Linked DNA regions of Cricetulus griseus. The protein of the gene in region 1 purifies or fractionates together with the protein of each later gene. This does not show direct contact. Links are inferred from orthologs where the notes say so. Each region holds a gene or a part of one and is shown in the gene's direction. Other genes may lie near its edges.

Evidence for each region.
Region 2: the proteins of Sost (region 1) and Lrp5 purify together in Homo sapiens (affinity purification with mass spectrometry; 3 studies listed by BioGRID and IntAct, counting the BioPlex papers as one, with this or other methods). This does not show direct contact. The link is inferred for Cricetulus griseus from reciprocal best matches to the Homo sapiens genes SOST and LRP5.

Annotation. Positions count from the first base shown.
Region 1 is NC_048600.1:116,129,624-116,133,629, forward strand, and holds the start of Sost (sclerostin), read left to right. Parts: upstream 1-1,205; coding exon 1,206-1,425; intron 1,426-3,785; coding exon 3,786-4,006. UniProt on the Homo sapiens protein: Negative regulator of bone growth that acts through inhibition of Wnt signaling and bone formation.
Region 2 is NC_048596.1:55,635,663-55,639,168, forward strand, and holds part of Lrp5 (low-density lipoprotein receptor-related protein 5), read left to right. Parts: intron 1-1,162; coding exon 1,163-1,372; intron 1,373-3,506. UniProt on the Homo sapiens protein: Acts as a coreceptor with members of the frizzled family of seven-transmembrane spanning receptors to transduce signal by Wnt proteins.

The DNA of each region.
Region 1 (4,006 bases):
GGGGTGGGGCAGAGGCAGGTGGATCACGGGAGGCCACTAGCCAGCCTAACCTGAATGTCTCAGGAAGAGATCCTGTCTCAGGGAATAACCTGGAGAGTGACAGAGGAGCACACACCTCCCCTGGTCTGTATGCACCCACACATACATGTACCCTCTCACACATATACCATGCACACATGTACACAGCAAGTGTAATACTCTGAGAAATGGCGGCACTAACTGAGAAATGTCACCACTAAAAGCACTGGCCTTGGCTTTTGCTAAGAAATAGGATTCTGTGTTGCCTGCCCCAGGCCTGGCCAGGGAAGGAACTGCCTTTGGCACACCAGTCTATAAGCCACATCAAGTTCCCTGGCTAAGCATCACCTGTGATGGATCCCAGGTCCCAAAGGGTAGAAGAGATTTCCTCTTTGTGCTCCATCTCCAAGAGCTGTGCTTACCCTCCACCTGTTGCCAGAATCCCACCTTCTCACCGGTGGCTCTGGACTCTCTACTTCTCCCTGGTTTTAAGGAGAAAGCCAAGGGACTTTTGCTCGGAATCTTCAGTGCTGAGCCATATGAACTTGAGGCCAATGGGATTTCTTTAAAAGCACCCGTGTAGAAGAGTGCTTGCATAGCAAGCATGAGACTCTTAGGTTGGATTCCCCCAAATAAAAAAGGCATCCTTCTGCTTGTGGGTGGGTAGTGGGGTGCAACAGACACCTTTAATTAAGACCATTAGCTGGTGGGGTGACAAAGGAACTTGGCTAGAGGAATTTGGTCAGCTGGACTCTGCCTTCTGTAGAACTCCACATGTTTCCTTTGTTAAGCTGGCCCACAGTTTGTTTTGAGAATGCCTGAGGGGCCCAGGGAGCCAGACAATTAAAAGCCAAGCTCATTTTGATATCTGAAAACCACAGCCGTCAGAACGTGGGAGGTGCTGGGAGAGTTGGCTCTGTCCTTGCCTCACCGCACCCCCTCCCACTTGGGTCACCTGGGAGTGCCAGCAGCAATTTGGAAGTTTGCTGAGCTTAAGAAGTCTTGGGGAGGGCTTGCTCTGAGCACACCCCTTTCCCCTGAGGAGGGGGGGTGAGGAAACTTGGGAACAGCCCTGTTCTAGTCCATCCTTATTGGCTGGCATGAGGCAGAGGGGGTTTTAAAAGGCGACTGTATCTAGGCTGGGGACTGGAGCCTGTGCTACTGAGTGCCTTCCTCCATCTGGCACCATGCAGCTCTCGCTAGCCCTGTGTCTTGTCTTCCTGCTTGTACATGCAGCCTTCCGTGCTGTGGAGGGTCAAGGGTGGCAAGCCTTCAAGAATGATGCCACCGAAATCATCCCTGGGCTCAGAGAGTACCCTGAGCCTCCCCAGGAGCTGGAGAACAACCAGACCATGAACCGGGCAGAGAATGGAGGGAGACCTCCCCACCATCCCTATGACACCAAAGGTATGGGATGGAGAAGACAAGTTGTTAGCATGGGGGCCCGGGAGGTAATGGGGGTAGTTTTAGAATCTGCTCTTTGGAGGCCTTGGAGATTGGGCGGATAGTTAGCCTCTGCCACACCAGGGGAGGGACAAGCTTGCCTGGAAGAATGCTAGCACAGCATTAGAGTCTGAGGACAGGCTTGGGGAGGGGGGCTGGCTGAGCACCCAAGACAGGGGTCAGGCCGAGATCAGCCGAAGCTGGCATTAACTTAGGCAAGGGCTTGTAGGATGGTTCAAAGAATCTCCTAGATCTGGCTGGACCAGTGGGAAGGTGACAAGGTAAGGCTGGTAAGCACCTTGATGGATGCTGTGGCTGTACTGTATGGCCACCCCATAAGGTAATCCTAGCTTGAAGGTGGATAGATTGAGGCTCCTGAGATAAAGCCACCTTGGAGAAGGGGTAAAAGAGCTGAGACTGGAAGCTGGTTTGATCCAGTTGCAACACAACCCTAGATTGGGTTTGGATTGGAACCTGAAGCCGGAAAGAACCCCCACTCAGTTCCCCCTGTTGGGCGCAGTGGGTTAGCATCAGAGAACAGGCTTTTAGGTACAGTTTTAGCCAGTGACATGACTGGCAGATGAGTGTAGCGTCCCCCCATATGGGCACAGGTGGCACCATCTGCCCTCTGCTTGCACCCTGGCCCAGCTTTGTCTCTCCTGTCTCTCCTGTCTCCTGGCCAGTGAGGAGAATGGGGAAAGCGCTACCCTGGAGAAGCAGGAGCAGAGGAGCGTGCAATGTGGTCACGTTTTGCAGAGGAAGTGCCTGACCTAAGGACACTATTCTTGGAAAACCCCCAAACTTATCCTTCCCTGGGCAAATCGACTCGCCTCCACATACCACCTCTACAGGGGTGAGGAAGTCAAATCAGCCCAGAAACCAAAGAGCCAGCCACAGAAGGGTAACACTTCCGCAGCTGTGCCTGCTCTCTGGGGTGGAGGTGGTTGCTGGCCTCTGCTTCTCTCTGGTTTTGGTTCTGGAACTTTTTTTTTTTTTTTTAAATCTTTTCATGCCATATTAGGGCTCATTCTGTGAAACTTTTGGGGGTAGACAGGACTCACATATGAATTATCTAGCTTAAAAGCTCCTGTCCACCCACCTAAGCCCATGGTGGGAGACATAGCCTGGGTGTGTGCATGAGATGAGGCCAGGCATGGGACCCAGCCTCTTCCACAGAAGGCAGGCTTGCATCACCATGAGCTATTGTTCAAGGCACACAGAACACGAGAGCCTGGTATGCAGCAGGTGCTAAACAAATGCTTATGGGGGTAGAAGCTGTAGGGCTGGGGGCCAGAACTCTGACTCCCTCTGCTAAGGAAGTAGCTAGCGAAGAGTGAGCAGCCCTCTCCCCCCCACCCCAACCCCTCCCCAACCTGGGATCCTCTAACAAATCACTTTCACCCTTGAAGGAGCCAGAAGGTGCTGGCATCCTAGGCAGGGGTGTCAGGCAACCCAGTCCTGCCTTTGGGGCAAGTTCTTTTCTCAGCCTGGACCTGTGATAATGAGGGGGTTGCAAACGCCGCCTTTGGTTGCTTTCAAGTCTAATGAATTCTTATCCCTGCCACCCGCCCTTCTACCCGCTTCTCTACAGCAGCTGTCCTGATTTATTACCTTCAATTAACCTCCACTAGTTTCTCCATCTCCTGAGCCCCCGTCCCTGCTCCAGTGACTGGTAAAAAATTTAGAAGGGACCAGAGTCAGCCCTAGCTGGCTAGCGGCTGCTAGGCAGGGCTGGGGATAAGGAGCTAAATTTCTAGAAGATTGCTTGGCTATTATGCGCGAAGCTCAGGGCCGGATCCCTAGTACCTCATAAGCCAGACAGTGGGTGATCCACGCCTGTATACCACCACCGGAGAGGTGAAGATGGGAGCTCAGACACTCAAGATCATCCTCAAGTACACAGCTCATTTCAGGCCAGCCTGGGCTACATAAGACCCAGTCCCCAAACAAGAACATACTGCCAGCTCTGACTGTGCCATGTAGCGCCCGGTATAATGCGCATGTAGTGGATGAAGCCATTGAATCCTGGGGCAACCTGTTTTACAGATGTGGGGAAGAGAGACGTTAAGTTGCTTGCCCACCGACCACATAGAAAGTAAATGGCCGAGCTCTGGTGTTTGATCACTGGCTTCTAAGGACAGTGAGCAGCCAGGGAGAGATCTTCCCCTGCAAGCTCCAAAAGTACCTGGTGCTTCCTTCCTATAAGCCATGCATGGCTGAGAAAGCGCCTGGAGAGCAGCAGGTTTGGAAAAAGCAGGGAGAAAATAGCGGGAGCAGGCCAGCCTGGGCTAGGCTGCCGCCCTTACGCTTCGCTCTCTCCGCAGACGTGTCCGAATACAGCTGCCGCGAGCTGCACTACACCCGCTTCGTGACGGACGGGCCGTGTCGCAGCGCCAAGCCGGTCACCGAGCTGGTGTGTTCGGGCCAGTGTGGCCCCGCGCGCCTGCTGCCTAACGCCATCGGCCGCGTGAAGTGGTGGCGCCCAAACGGACCCGACTTCCGCTGCATCCCGGACCGCTACCGCGCGCAGCGGGTGCAACTGCTG
Region 2 (3,506 bases), on another chromosome or scaffold:
GTCTAGCCAAATTAGTGAGCTCTAGTTTCAGTAAGAGCTCCTGTCTCAAATAATAAGGTGGAGAACCAGCCAGATGACTCCGTGAATAAAGGCCCTTGCCACCAAGCCTGTTGACAAGAGTTTGGTCCTCAGAACCCACATGGTGAAGTTGAGACCTGACTCCACCTACATGTTGTCCTCAGTGACATGTATCCCTGCTCCCAAATATACACATACACACGTAAATGTAATAAAAAATAAGGTGGCTGGAGAGATGGCTCAGTGATTAAGAGCACTGGCTCGTCTTGCAGAGGATCTGAGTTTAGTTCTCTACATTGACCTGACACAACCATCTGTAACTCCAGGTCTAGGAGATCTAGTGCTTTCTTCTGGCCTCCTTTGGACACTGTAGGCTTCTGTCATACAAACATACATGCGGGCAAAGCACCCATATGCACGAAGTAAAAACAAATAAATATTTAAAAATGCTGTGGATGTAGGGCTGGAGGTGGCTCAGTAGTTAAGAGAACCGACTGTTCTTCTAGAGGACCCGATTCTATTCCCAGCACCCATGTGACAGCTCATAACTGTCTGTAACTCAAAGATCTGACACCCTCACACAGACATACATACAGACAAAACACAAATGCACATAAGAATAAGTTATTTTTTAAAAAGCTGTGTGCAGTGATGCACACCTTTAATCACAGCATTTGAGAGACAGAGGCAGGTGGATCTCTGTGAATTTGAGGCCAGGCTGGTCTACACGAAGAACTTCAGGATAGCAAGGTCTATATACAGTGGCCTTGTCTCAATAAACAAATAAATAAAAACCTTAAAAAGATAAATGAGATGTAGAAATGATTGAGACTTCTGGCCTCACATGCATACACACATGTATAAAGATACCTCCTCCACACACTGCCCCCCCAACACACACACACAATGGATGGGGACAGGAAGCACCATGTTTACAGAAGACAGTGACCATGTGGTATGACTTGAACCCAAGGCCAGCCCTTGTGGGAGCAGTCTGCTTCCATGGTCTCTGCCCCAGCTCCCAGCTCTGGAAATCACAGAAAAACCCTAGTCTCCCTCCTGGCCCTTTCTTTAAATCTCCATTCTCCTGAGCCCCGTGGGTCTGGCTCAGCTGCCACTCATGAAGTCTTTGTGCTACCCATAGGGGCCAACCGCCTGACCCTGGAAGATGCCAACATCGTGCAGCCAGTGGGTCTGACGGTGCTGGGCAGGCACCTCTACTGGATCGACCGCCAACAGCAGATGATTGAACGTGTGGAGAAGACCACTGGGGACAAGCGGACTAGGGTTCAGGGCCGTGTCACCCACCTGACAGGCATCCATGCTGTGGAGGAAGTCAGCCTGGAGGAGTTCTGTATGTGAGAGGGGACACCATTTGTGATAGGTCCTCTGGGGGGAGGGTGACACTTCTTGGAGACTGTTGAATCATCCCTGCTGAAATCAGATTGGTTACTGGTGTAAGAACCATGTGCCTAAGGAGGTCTTGGGCTCAGCACTGAAGGCCAGTATGTGTCCTAGTATTTTCATCTGCAGTCATTTGTGTTTACTGCTATACAGAAGTCCAAGCCTGTTCTTTGTTTAATTCTTTCTTGTCTGTCTGTCTGTCTGTCTGTCTTCTAACATTTACCTACCTAGCAATCCCAACCTATCCATCTGTCCATCTCTCTCATCTGTCTGTATCCATCATCTATTTATCTACTTTTAAGGTATAGTCTCTACAGGTAGCCCAGGCTAGCCTGGAATTCTCGACAGTCCTCCGGCCTCAACCTCCTGAGTGCTGGAATTCTCCAACCCCCCCCCTCTCTGTGTGTGTGTGTGTGTGTGTGTGTGTGTGTTTCTCACATGCATGCTCACACGTTAATTCCGCTGTGTTTCTCATGGGTCTGTGGTGAGGCAGTGTGCTTCGTGACAATAATTAGGTGATGAAGCAAGGCTGCATGTACATGATTCATGGCTTGGAACCCAGACAAAGGGAGAGATGGCTTCCTACTATCTCCTTTGAAAACATGCTCCCGCCGGGCGGTGGTGGTGCATGCCTTTAGTCACAGCACTCGAGAGGCAGAGGCAGGGGTATCTCTTTGAGTTTGAGACCAGCCTGGTCTACAAGAGCTAGTTCCAGGACAGCCTCCAAAGCCACAGAGAAACCCTGTTTCGGAAAAAAAGAAAAAAAAGGAAGACATGCTCCCAATGATACAGAGATCCCCCACTAGGCTCCAGCTGTGTTGTTTTTCAGTCCTTGGAATTAAATTCATGTCTCTCATGCATGCTGCTCAAGTATTCTACCCTTGACCTACATCTCCAACTAGGTCCCACTCTTTAAAGGTTCTGCTGCCTCTCACTAGTGCCTCCATGGCTGTAGTCTACCTCTCTTAGGAAGCACAAGTCTCTGGGTTCCAATTAAAGACAAAAGAACAGAAAGGAGCCTTCTGGCTGCTCCACAGGCTGGCACAAAGCCTTTGTGAGTTGCTTATCCAAATATGGCAGTCCTTCTTATCAGCTGCTCAAATCCCTGATTTCCCATGTTGCCCCAGGAACACACTCTGCTTTCTCAGGGTTCAGGATTGGGGCTGCCCCTCCATGCTGCTGTTCCTCAGTGTGGTCCAGGCCCTTGTGGCTAAGCAGGTCTGTACCTGGAGCCCTTCCTGTCTCCCTGATGTCCCTGTCCCTCTATTGGAATCACTCCTGCTACCTGCTAATTCTCCCTCCAGGACTCAGCTTTCACCTTGGCTGTCCCTTTGCTGGGACCATGGTCACATCTCCTGCATCCCTTGTACAGGTGTGCTCAACATTTGACAATGTGATAAAATGTTGTCCACAAAACCCATCCTCGAAATTAACACAATCAAGTTGCCAAAAAACAAAAACAAAACAGAAAAAAACCTCTTTTTTTTTTTTTTTTTTTAAATTGTTTGTAGGGGTGGGACCATACATGCCATGGAACATGTGCAGGTCAGAGAACAACTTTGTGGATTTGAGTCTCTCTTTCTTCCCTTATGTGGGCATCCTAAATAGTTTTCCTGTGGCTGTGATAAACACCATGACCAAAAGCAGCTAGGGAAGAAAAGGGTGTGTTTGACTGACAGGTCACAGTCCATCATTGAAGGAACCCAGGGAGGAACTCAAGGCAGGAGTGGCGGCAGATGCATGGAGGAGCACTACTTAGTGGCTTGCTCCCATTACTTGCTCAGCCTTCTTTTTTACACCATCCAGGACTACCTGCCCAGGTATAATGCATCATTCAATAGTCAAGAAAATGCCCCCAGACACATGTCCACACACTAATCTGTTAGAGGCAGTTCGTCAATCAAGGTCCCTTCCCTCTTCAAATGACTCTAGGTTTTGTCAAATTGACAAAAAGCTAACTACCACAGTGGTTTCCAGGGGTTGAACTCAGGGATTGAACACACAGTTCCTTCACTTTCAGGGTCATCTCTCAGGCCTTGTCAAGATTTTTTAAGTAAGTTTCTGGTTGTATGTTGGGGGACATG